Linked DNA regions of Drosophila melanogaster. The protein of the gene in region 2 interacts with the protein of the main gene of each other region in a pairwise test. Each region holds a gene or a part of one and is shown on either strand. Other genes may lie near its edges. The genes, in order: CG7379, P5cr-2 and CG1635.

The links.
Region 1: the proteins of P5cr-2 (region 2) and CG7379 interact in a two-hybrid assay, tested with the Drosophila melanogaster proteins (one large-scale study listed by BioGRID).
Region 3: the proteins of P5cr-2 (region 2) and CG1635 interact in a two-hybrid assay, tested with the Drosophila melanogaster proteins (one large-scale study listed by BioGRID).

The regions. Positions count from the first base shown.
Region 1 is NT_033777.3:17,795,827-17,800,179, forward strand, and holds CG7379 (uncharacterized protein), read right to left. Parts: upstream 2,479-4,353; 5' UTR 2,284-2,478; coding exon 2,142-2,283; intron 2,061-2,141; coding exon 1,108-2,060; intron 1,047-1,107; coding exon 840-1,046; 3' UTR 550-839; downstream 1-549. Other genes in the region: pasi1 (pasiflora 1), read left to right, coding at 37-87, 169-252; CG17803 (uncharacterized protein), read right to left, coding at 3,174-3,414, 3,482-3,802, 3,859-4,353.
Region 2 is NT_033777.3:17,534,105-17,537,562, reverse strand, and holds P5cr-2 (Pyrroline-5-carboxylate reductase-like 2), read right to left. Parts: upstream 1,879-3,458; 5' UTR 1,791-1,878; coding exon 1,712-1,790; exon of another isoform or gene 1,531-1,711; coding exon 865-1,530; exon of another isoform or gene 793-864; coding exon 716-792; 3' UTR 640-715; downstream 1-639. Other genes in the region: l(3)07882 (lethal (3) 07882), read left to right, coding at 1-207, 269-374.
Region 3 is NT_033777.3:31,586,621-31,590,925, forward strand, and holds CG1635 (uncharacterized protein), read left to right. Parts: upstream 1-2,052; 5' UTR 2,053-2,132; coding exon 2,133-2,239; intron 2,240-2,299; coding exon 2,300-2,370; exon of another isoform or gene 2,371-2,423; coding exon 2,424-2,666; exon of another isoform or gene 2,667-2,725; coding exon 2,726-3,651; 3' UTR 3,652-3,772; downstream 3,773-4,305. Other genes in the region: rod (rough deal), read left to right, coding at 1-623, 683-1,316, 1,377-1,487; CG1638 (uncharacterized protein), read left to right, coding at 3,998-4,116, 4,173-4,225, 4,279-4,305.

The DNA.
Region 1 (4,353 bases), 260 kb from region 2:
ACTAAAGCTAATGAATTCGTGTTACTCTACCGCCAGCTGGAGCAAACCTTCTCGGCCCTTTTGAACTTCGTTTGGGTAGCCTACAATGTAAGTGTTTGAAATTCAAGGGACAGCAACACCAACTCCTGTATCATTATGTTTATAAACCCATTTTACTCATCCACTTAGATCTATTGCTGGCTGGTGGTCTTCTCGCAGTACCAGATATTCCTGGAGATCCAGAATCCGAACATTGAGCTGCTCATGCCATGATGGAAGAACCTCCATACAGAAGCTCGAATAATCTATTAGAATACTTTTTGACTTGACACGCAACAAGAACTCCGTCCATGCGCATTTTTTACAATAAGAATTCCATACAATTCCACAGATGCCTACCAAATAGTTTTATATAAATTTATATATTTTACACACATTTATACACGATCAATTATACTTATGTGTAATTCGAATGCCTTAGTCTTCTAAACGACAATTAAACAAATAGATTCGTAAAACTACTGCTACTGGATACGGGCTCCTTGGGGCCAAGAAATTATTGTGGGTTTTGAATATCAACGTTTATTACCATAAATTAAGTTTAGGTGTACTCTAATTATACGAGTTTTTGTGTGTTTACATTGAGAAAGATATTGTTTGTACAGAAACTTTAAATGAAAACTGACGACCTATAACCATAGAAGCGAGGGATCTAAACTGGGTGAAAGAGGGGAAAGTCGAAAAGGGATCGGGTCTAAGAAAGTCACTAAATATACATTAAGGTAAATCTTAGGATCGAATATTTTACAGAGCCTGGTGTTAGACACAGAGCAATGGGTTGGATAGGCTGGCCTAATAGACTAGGTCTTCTCCTCCTTTTCCTTGTTGTAGCGCTCCAGTTCTTTGAGGAACTGCGCCTTGGGTTTCATTACATTTGGCCGTTCTCCGCGGCAGTTGGGGCAGAACCACTTGCCTTTTGGTTTTAGTACCAGGGAGACGCACGAAAAATGGAACCACTCGATGGGGCACAGGTCATTGTCGCACAGGATCATCTCGCCAAAGGAGATCTGCAATAGAAAACGTGATTAGTGGCGAAGCTTTTCGATAGGAAAAGCACTGCGAACTCACCTGATTGCAGACACAGTAGGTCGGCTCGTCCGGATCAATGGTCTCCGGCGGCGGCGTCTCCTCTCGCGTACTGGCATTGGCATTTGAAGCCCCAGAACCGCGTACCTTGCGCTTTTTCTTCTTGCCGGAATTATTGCCACCAACTACGCCGGCTCCGCTGGCACCACCACCTCCGGCTGCTCCACTGCTCGTGGCTGCAGAGCCGCTAGCCAAACTGCCAGAAGCCGACTGCAGACTGGCCTTTCGTCCCTGTCCCGCTCCACTGGCACCGCCCAACGAGGATTTGCGCTCGCCACTGCCACCACCACTGCCACTGGCTTCATTTGCCGAGTTGGACTCGTTGCCGCCCATCTCCAGAGAGCTTCCGTTGTTAACAACACTCTCGTTTCGCCTCCTCGACCGCTTGCTACCTGTGCGCTGCAGTTCTCCGCCTCCTCCGCCGCTGGCATTGCCATTGGAGCCGCTGTTGCCACCATTACTGACATGGCTCGAGCGCTCCGAGTTGGGCGTTGAGCCGCCACCGTTGCCGGAGGTCATGGCATTAGAACCAGGCACAACACCACCTGCATAGCCGCCCAAGGCGTACAGATCTTTGGCCGAAAGCAGGCCGTTTCCATTTAGGCCACCGTTGCCAGTGCCCGCTTGGTTGCCCTGCTCCCTCATCGGGCTCTGCAGGCGTTGCAGCTTCGAAGGCGTGCCATCGTCCAGGAGCGCATACCGATCGCGGTCCTCCTTCAGGTCCAGGTTCTGCTGGTCGGTGTCCAGCTGGCGCAGCTTGCCGTCGATTATCTCCTGCATATGATTGACGATCTGCATTTTTTCGTCGCCCAGTTCCTGCGCCTGAATGAGACTCTGGTGCATCCTGGAGATGCTTCGAGACCGTCGCCCGGCATCCGCGGAGTTCTGCAGGGACAGATACAGGTCGTAGTAGTGGTCTACGTCGCGAATGAGGCCTGCAAATCGACGGGTTTGGACCAAGAGAGGAGGTTAGGTTTTCCGCTTTTCCAACAGGCGTAATCTCGGCCAGAACTCACCTCTGTACTGGACGTCTATGTCGCGGATGCGTGACAACTGGCGCTGCACGTCGTCCGGCAGATTTTCCACCGAATCGATATAGTTGTCCACATAGGTGGCCGAATTGATGGCCTCCGACTCGGATGCAATGGGGTTTATCATCGTGTTTGGACTGCGAATCGCTCTATTCCCGCCGCGACATCGGCTCGGGGACGTGGGTTCGGATGTGAGCTACTCTTCCGGCGCTCTGGAAGGGATCGGCTGGCTATATAGTACTCCGATTCCACTCAGTTCCAACTTTTTGTATGGCGTTGCGAGTCGCAACTTGCGACTGTACTCGTGTGTGCGTGTATGTGTGCGTAGGTATTATTTATATGTATGTATACAATGGGTGGTTGTGCTTTGCAACACTAGTCGGCTGGTGTTTTGCTACACTGAAATCGGGGTGGTTAACGGCACTGCTGTTTCGGTTGAATTTTTTAATAAATAAGTAATATTGGTTTTAATAGTTTGTGGTCAAATATCTTCTCATCATTTCCCTAGGCAATAGAAAGTATTAAAAATATTTTCCCTTTAAATACAAATTTAATTATTACTTTCAGTCCTTTTTTTGTATTCATTTTATTACAATTATCGTAATTTTAAAATCATGTATCATTCATTCAACGGCCAGTGTAGGAAACGTTCAAAACCAACCCCTTACTCATTTGCCCGGGAAACTGGAGAATTTCAAATAACAGTATCAGCTGATTTTTTAATTAGGAAAAACAAATGCACTTATATTATTTTTTAATTGATTATTATTTAATATTAATAATATAAATATTTATTGTTCCTTTCATGAAACATACGTCTGAACTATTCAGATTTGTATTTAGGTTGTCAAGTCTATTCTTCATTAAGCTTAACGTTATTAAATGCATAATACTATTATACGAATTATATATTTTTAAAATATTGTTCGTGCATTATCTTCTATGTCGGCACTTACTAAACGTCACCTTAGAAGTATTACGTACTTCGCCATGAAAGTATATAAATTTTTATAAAAATTATATATATTCAATAGTTTGAGTCTTTTCATCCTGAGTTCTGGCTCGCACTTCCTGTGCATTTGGCTGCATTGGTGTTTGAGATTCAAAGTCCATTTCCTTATCAATATCTTTAAATGCTTGTTGCAGTCCATTAACTTCTTCTTTTATAGCTTTCTGCATATTATCCCGATGCAAATCGGTGTTTTTGTGTTTGTTTAGATTATATCTATGGCGGTAGTGAACATCGCAGATCTCGCACCTGGCAATATAAATCAAGTAAAGAAATAAGTAAACGGACAGTAGTCGGGATTCTCTTTTGCACCCACCGATGAGGATGCATTCCTGTGTGTACATCCTGATGCTTTGTTAGTTGGGAGCGCAGCAGGAATCCCTTTAGGCAGATGTCACAGCGAATGGGAAACTTGTCGTGCAAAGCTTGATGTCGTTTCATGGCAGATGGGTCAGCGAATTTCATCTGGCAAATCTTGCACTGGAAGGGTCTGCTTCCGTTGTGGAAGTTCATGTGCAGGACTAGACCTTTCTTGCTGGTATAACTTTTGGTGCACTGGGTGCAGTAATGGCGACTGGATCCCTCTTCCTTTGATTTCACCCGCGTTCGAATCCGATTGCCTGCTCCGTGAACATCCCTGGAGTCAATCGAAGTGATTAGATGATGGAACCATCAAATAGTAGGTGCACTCACCTCTCGTGCCTGTGACGACTGCTTGCGTTTGCGAAGGACTCATTGCAATGGTTGCAGGGAAAGGGATGCTCGCCCTTGTGCAGCGCTCTTACGTGAATGTTGCGCGTATAGAGATCGTAGAATTTCTTCGGGCATTCGGGGCACTCGAAATTCTTGGCCCTATTGTGACGGAGCAAGTGCATCTGCAGCTGACTGCGTTGGCGAAAGGTGTGGCCGCACTTGTCGCAGACATAGTTCAATGGCTTCGCTTGTATCCTTTCGCGGCGCCTTCGGTTTTTCTCCTCTGGACTCACCCTTAGTTGAGGTTTCTTTGGTAGTGAAAGCGAATACTTTGGTGCAGTTTCCTTTAGGCTATTGTACTCACCGAGCACAACCTTATAGACCTTGGCTCCGTGATCTACCTTACCAATCTCTTCCTTAGTCTTACACTTTCGTATGCTAATTATTTCATTACATGACTTGTTTTGCTCCAAAGCAAAGTCTTTTTCTGTGTCT
Region 2 (3,458 bases):
GGAAAAGAAACCCAAGGCTCTTAGGCTGCTGGAACCTCGATTCGAGGCGGTTTACGATGACAAACGTCGTCCCAAGATGTCCAAGGCCAAGGAAGAGCGGGCCAAACTGCTGCACAAGATCAAGCGCGAGAAGAAGGGTGCCATTCGAGAAATACGCAGAGATACGTCCTTCGTTCAGATGCTTAGGCTCAAACAGACCCTGCAAAGGTTTGTGTTCCATTTACAATTTAACCGTTCCTTTCTAATCTATTGTATTTCATATCCACAGTGACAAGGAGCGCCACGAGAAGGTTAAGCGCATTTACCAGGAGGCATCCGTGCAACAGGGCGAGCTCAATGAGCTGTCCCGGGCCAAAAAGAAGAAGAAGTTCTAGGCTCGACTTTGAATTAGTTATTTTTAGCTAGACTATAAACAAAGCTGAGAGTAAAGAATATAGCAGTGTTGCTTATATTTTAGTATCACGAAATCGGCCTTCACAGTTTTTATAGTTATGCAAAGCTACTAACCCAGATTAAGCACAAGGGTGGGTCGATTAAAATGAAACATCTCATCATTGCTCTTTGAAAGCACTATAGCACCAACATACATTTCCAAATTAAAAACATGTTTCTTCAAGAAGCAACAAAATTTAACGACTTCCTTTAACTACTATAACTTTAATAACAAAATTGACCCACCCCAATGTACGTATATGTATATGATAATCCTATGTGCCTACTTCGTCTTTCCCGAGATTTGCCGGCATCGCAGAGTCGCCTGTTCCACCGCTCCAGACACCGCAGCCCGAAAACCTGCAATCGACATCAAAGGTTGAAGTGGCGGCGATAAGCGAGTGCGTCATCGGCGTCATCATCCCAACTTACCTGACAGCTCGAGTTGTCTGAGTGCCGCTGCTGTCGATCCCGCCGGACTTGTGACCCCATCCTTGAGTTGTCCGGGATGCATACCACTGTCCCGCACCATGTGACCTGCGCCCAGGACTGTTTGCGATGCCAAACGATAGGCCAGATCCCTGGGCATGCCCATGTGAACGGCTCCATCCGCCAAGGCCTCAATCATCACGAATACATAGGCCGGTCCACTTCCGCTCAGAGCAGTAACCACATCCAACTGGGACTCATCCACCGGCTCACAAGTGCCCACGGACTGCAGCAGCTTCTGGGTAATATCCGCATCTGCATCTGTGGCCTTGGATCCGCGAACGAAAACCGAACAACCGGAACACACGACAGCCGGCAGATTGGGCATCACACGGATGACGCGAGCTTGTGGAGATAAACTGGACTCGATGGTGGACAAAGTGATGCCCATGGCCACGGAAAGGAATAGTTTGCCCGAGCTCAATGGCTGAATCTCCGACAAAACCGAGGGAACCACTTGGGGTTTCACGGACACGAAGACCACATCCGATTGCTGCACAACGGGTGCATTCTTGATCACTGTTTCCACTCCCAGGGATTGAAAGGACTGCAGGGAGAGCTTATCTGCCGGATGGACGCTGGCTATCAGGGTATTGGGTTTGGCCAGGCCTAGGAAATGAATTAGGAAATTTGGCGATTATATGATGAAATCCTTAACGTCCTATCCTTTTGTATCTAATTATAAGATGATGTTAGTTCATATATATATTGCATATCCAAGTGTGTCTTATCTATTGTCTAGCACAAAGTATGTCAGACTACAAATCTATTTTATTAGTGGCTTTCTCACCGGCCGCTAGGAAACCCTTAGCCAAAGCCTTGGCCATATTCCCGCCTCCCAGGAATCCGATCTTTCCGATTGCCGACATTAGTTAATGGGTTAAAAAGTCCGCGGACTGTGAGTACTGAACTTTCTGCTGGTGGAACGGCAACTGTGCGCCCGCCGCCGGCGTTGACCAAAAACAGACGCGAGGATTGATAAGAAATCTTGCCCGGCCAACCCCCTCCCAATCCCCTGCGTTGAGGGAACAACACACCCAGCGATCTGAGCTTATCATTGAGGTTCCTATGTGTGGGTTCGGCAATCGACAGCGGGGCAAAATAATAATAAATACTAAGAACTTTTCACACATTGTAAATAAAGAAAACATTAAACTATTAATAGTGCTGTTTTACAATCGAATTATATTTGAATAAAAATAGTCATTAAAATCCACTTAAGATAGAGACAAATTTTTAATAGATCATAAATTACAACCCATTATTTAAAGTGAAGTTATTATGATTTCAGCTTATATAACAATCAATTATAATATTGATTGATAATATTGATTATATATAATATGTAGTTTAAAATACAGTTCAAGTGCCGCGATTGCTAATATTTTGCCCGCCGTTGTATTTCCTTATCATTTAGAACAACTGTCATCCGCAACTCATTCACCCATTAATCGGCGTGACGAAGTCCAAATTAATGCGAGATGCCGATGCCCTGTAATCCCTGTAATCGTGCGTTGATCCACTTTCGTGTTTTGGATTCCATTTCTATAAATTTCTATATAGCTGTACTCTTTGGCAATCCTTACTTACCAAGTTTCAAAAACATTCCGCACTTTAAGAGATAACAATCGTTATCAATGTGAGCGTGATAACAGTAGAGGCGATATACACATGCTTATTTGTAAAGGGCTACATTAGAAAACCAAAGTATTTACTTTGTATATTACAAAATATTGCCATAGGGATTTTGGGACATACCCGGGTATACTAGATACGTTGGAAAGTAGATACCGCCTAGTAAGCAATTTTCGAAAAGAGTTCTTTCTTCTTTTTATCATATCTCGCATTAAGTAACGGGTATTTGATAGTCCAGCAAATCGGCTAAAACTAAAAGATCTATATTTACTGTTTTCAAAGAATTGCACAGATTTGAGAGTCAGTTAATTAGCGGATACATACACCACTCCATCCAATTTTCTCACCGTATGCAGCAAAGTTTCCCTCCTTCACCACGTGGTGAGGAAGCCAACATAGACTCTGGTAACACTAAACTGGAGATGAAACTTACTTCCGCACACGGTACCACTAAACTCTTCATGCCAAAATAAAAGATTAAATTAAGATATTGCCAGCTCCAAACCCGGATATATAACCCCACAAGTGATTAATACGAATTAGGGGCATCCACTGTAGCGGAGTAAGCTCGTGATACTACCAAAATTTACCAAAGTCAAGCCCTAGTTGTCCCCTACACGTGTGTGAGTGTGTGTGTGCGGGTGTCGGTCGTGTGCGCCTGTATATGTGCGTTGTTTTCTCACTCAATTTCATTGCAATTTAAAAAAAAATCAACAAAAACGCAGTAACAGCAGCAACAACAATTAGAAAACGCACTTGTTACCGAGGTTGGCTGCCAGTACTAGAAAAGCAAACAATAAACAACCGAGCTGGCGAGACTGAAATCCATCGCATGATAAACACACCGAACAAGAATCTTCGACAGCTTCGAAATTCTGGAGAAGGACGGTACGTATTGGTAT
Region 3 (4,305 bases), about 14 Mb from region 2:
ATACTACGACTGGTCGAGAAGGTGAACAACCCAAACAAGGCATTTCTAATACTGTACTTCGTGTCCAACTATGCTCGTGATGGAGCCGATCAGGTGGAGGCCTCCTACGAGTGCTGGAAGTTTGTCAAGGAGAAGGGCCACCTGATTACAGATCCAAAGAGTCGCGAGCAGGTTGCCAAGGTGAAGCGACGGTATCCTATTCAGAAGACCCAGCACCTGCTGTATGTCTATGGCCTGACCGATGAGAAGCTACTGCGCCAAGTTGAGAACCCCACCGAGCTTATTCAGGCGCTCTACCACCATGAGCTGATCCTCAAGTCCAGCAAAGTGGATATTAACGCTCTGGTCGCAGAGATAGCCAAGCTGCACGACCTCTGCTTAGCCACCATCCAGTACCGCCTGCTACAGAAGTGGCTCGCTCTGACTATGGAGTCTGCGGGTGATGGTACCATTTTGGAGGAGACCTTCATGGAGGAGCAGAACTGGCCGGAGCAGGCCAACGGCGCAGAGTCCTCCAACAGCCAGGACGCCAGCGAGAACGTAAATAGAGCGTTTTACATACTTTCCAGTTGGCCAAAGGCGGAGGCAGTCAAGTTCCTTGTGGGTCTGATCTTCAAGGGCGGGTAAGGATTGGTACTTAAAAGTTAGCGAAAATAATTCATTGAATAAACCCTTCCACCAGTTCGGTAAACACCTCCACACAGCTGCAAATGTACGAGTGCTATTCCAAGCTAAACGATGGCAGCAACTCCTTTACCAACACGATTAGCCAACGCCAGTTCATCAGCATCAAGTGTGTGCACGAGCTCAAGGCTCTGGGCTACAAGTCGAACCTGGAGAAGTTCTCCGACGACCATTGCAACAAGATTGACATTCTGAAGATGATCTGGCAGCGTAATGCGCAGAATCCCCTTTCGCTGGAAGTCATGGCCAACATTTGCCTGGGCTTTGATATACACTTGCCGCAGATCTGGAACGGCATTCTGAAGCGCATGGTCATGTTCCATATGGTGCGCGAGCTGAACGCCTTGTTGGATGTACTCAGCTGCCGGCCGCATCTACTTCACCTGGATGGACTGGCCCAGGCCTGGGACTATGTGCTCTGCCATCCTCTGCAGAACGCAGTCGAGCTACGATCCTTTAAGCAGGAAGAGGTGCTCCACAAGACGCTGCTGCGCCTGCAGGGCTGTCCGGTGGTGCACGCCCTCAACCTGCTACAGTTCGCCCAGCTCTGCATCGTCGTCCATCGACCGCACATGGCCGCCTCTCTACTCAGCTTCTGCCAGAGCAGCGAGCAACGCCAAAAGATCAAAAAGGTATGCTCGAACCGCGCACTTTAACGAAATGCTCTATTGTCACTCTAACTCTTCTTGCAGATGATACATTCCCATCCGGTGGAGAACCTTCGGCAACAGATCTTGGATCTGGAAGATGCTGGTATTTTGCCGGTGGTGCTGAACTTTGCGCTCAAGGAACTAAATCTGTAAGCGTAGAGATTTGGATTTTACTATTCCCATAATTTTTTGTTTTATTGGTCGAATATCTGCGTTAAGTGCGTTCGGGTCAAGATACTTTTGTAAATATCAAGGTTTTATACCTGCAAATATAGTTTATACAAACGATGACTATTTTCTATTTTAATTTTAATATGTTATTTTATATACAGTAGCAATTAGTCAATATTCAAACAGTACAATCTCTTAATTTCATAATTTATGCATCACAAAACAATGTGTTAATTTGAGAAATTGTCTAGGGAACTTCGCTTCCCAGTTTAAAATTAACAACAATCGGGATGACGTCATACGTATGTATCACTTCTGTAAACAGTGGGCTCAAGTTGATGGAATACTGAAAATAATGAGATATATTAGGATTTTTTTTAAATGAAGACTTTGTTGTGTAAAGAACAGTCAGTCTCAAATCAATTTAATTAAAGTAAATGGGAAAAAATTAATATACTAAAGAATCGAACTTTTCGAAATTAGTTGGAGACGAATTTTCTCGAGCCCACTGTACCAGTCAGCTGTGGCCGCCAGCTGTTTTCTATTTGGGGTTAGATCAAAGACAGGTTACACTTTGTATGTAACTTGAAAAGCAAGGAGAAAGCTGCGAAACTAAGTTAAACCGAGATGATGCGTTCTTTGATAGGAGCACAAAAGTGCTGGGGCCTGATCCGCACCAGGAACTTTATGGAATTACCCACCAAACAGGTGCCAGCATCCTTCGCATTGTTCAAGTAAGAGCAAAAAATAAATGATGAGCTTACATGGTAAATGAGTACTTTCATCTCTAACAGGCGTCACTACTCACCGCCCACGCATATCAAGCAATCAGCGGTCGCCAATGAATCCGGAACCATGGCGGAGGGTAAGTGTTGTCTTGCCAGAGTCAAACCCATCGTAATCCCCGAACGTCTGCAGTCAAGCAGGGGATGATGAAGCGATTGGGGCTGGAGCCCGGTTACAACCCGCTGCCCAAATCCAGGGAGCAGCTGCTCAAGTACCAGCCGAAGCTGGAGGATCTGCCTCCAAGAGCTATGCAGGATTCCTTCACCTCGGCCATCATTCCTCTGAGCACGGACCGCAGTTTGCAGGACAAATATGTGACCTATCTGGGCAATGTGCGATTCGGGCGACTTCTGGAGGACATGGACTTGTTTGCTGGTATGAGGAACACATTTGCTGGAATCTTGGCGCACTTTCTCACTATCCGCTATTTCCAGCTTGGTGCTGTCATAAACACCTGGTTCTGCCCAATCTGCCGGAGGGAGTTCATCTGCCGTACACCTTTGTGACCATTCTGGTGGACCGCATCGATTTCACCAATGTCTTGGCTTCAGGCACCCAAGATATCCGTTTGTCTGGGCACGTTTCCTGGGTGGGAACCAGTTCAATTGAGGTGGTAGTGTGGCTGGAACAGATGGTTGGCGGGAGGTACCAAAAGTTAACCCGTGCCTTGTTCCTGATGGCAGCAAGAAACGCTAACAATACCGGAGCGGCTCCTGTGAACCCCTTACAGCCGGCCAACGAGGAAGAGAAAGTGATTCTGGCTGGCGGCGCAGATAGAAAGAAGAAACGTCAGATTCTCTGTGCTCAGTCCATCTTTAAGGTGGAACCCAATGACCCGGAGCAGACAATTATGTACGAGCTGTACAAAAGGACAACTCCCACCAACACTTTGGAACTCAACAAGCGCATCCTGCCACCAAACTGTCGCTGGATGGAGGACTCTTTCCAGATGAGCACTATTCCCTCATTTCCGGAGCACAGGAACCACCACAACCGGGTCTTCGGAGGCTTCCTCATGCGAAGTGCCCTGGAGATAAGCTGGGCAGCAGCCTACCTCTACTGCAAAACGCGACCCAAGCTGGAGCACATATCCGACATCAGCTTCGAGAAGCCCGTCAGCGTGAACAGCTTCATCAAGATGACCGCCTATGTGGTGTACACCAAGGAGAACTACGTGCAGATCATGACCGTTGCAGATGTGATGGACCCACAAACGGGCAGCCAGGTGACCACCAACACGTTCTACTACACCTTCTCGTCTCCGGACACGGTTACCGAGGTGCTGCCCCGCTCCTACCACGAAACCATGTGGTACATCCAAGGTCGTCGAAAGTTCGAGGCCAGCATGGGCCCAGTGTAGACATGGTTCAGCCTGTGATTGTTACTCAAGATATTATGCAAGGCTATCCTACCAGATAAATGCAATTACCAGTTCAGTGTTTACAAAAAGCAATAAATGTCTGTTGTTTAATGATGTGCTTAACCAACCAGCTTAAAACTTTTAAAATCTTCTATTAAACCCTATCGAAGAGTACTAGATTAAATGTTTATTAATATAATAACTGTCAAAATAATCCCTAATTTTTGCCGACTTTACATTTTTTGGATACCCATTACCTGTAATCAAAAAAGCAGAGCTGAAGCAAAATTTATAGTTTTAATTTCGTGTCGGATCTGAGTTCAGATCTCGATCCCGATCCGTTTCCATGGGGCCTGGTCTTAGAAATGTTAAATTATGTGTTGTACCTTTTTTGCTCGGAGCCCGCAGCTGCCGGAGCTTGTTAAAGGCCAGGACCCTCAGGAAGATGACACATAAAAATTCCAGGTGAAGCACCAACACAACTAGCAGAAATCAGATTTTATAGGCCACATTTCTTCTAGCTCTAATGGGCGTAACTCCTCTGCGGACGGTCAATACGCCACTATGACGGAGAGTAAGTACTTCCATTCCAGAAATAGGTGCTACTTGTCCAGATATCCCTTTTAGTCAAGAAGAAGATGCTGAAAAGCTTCG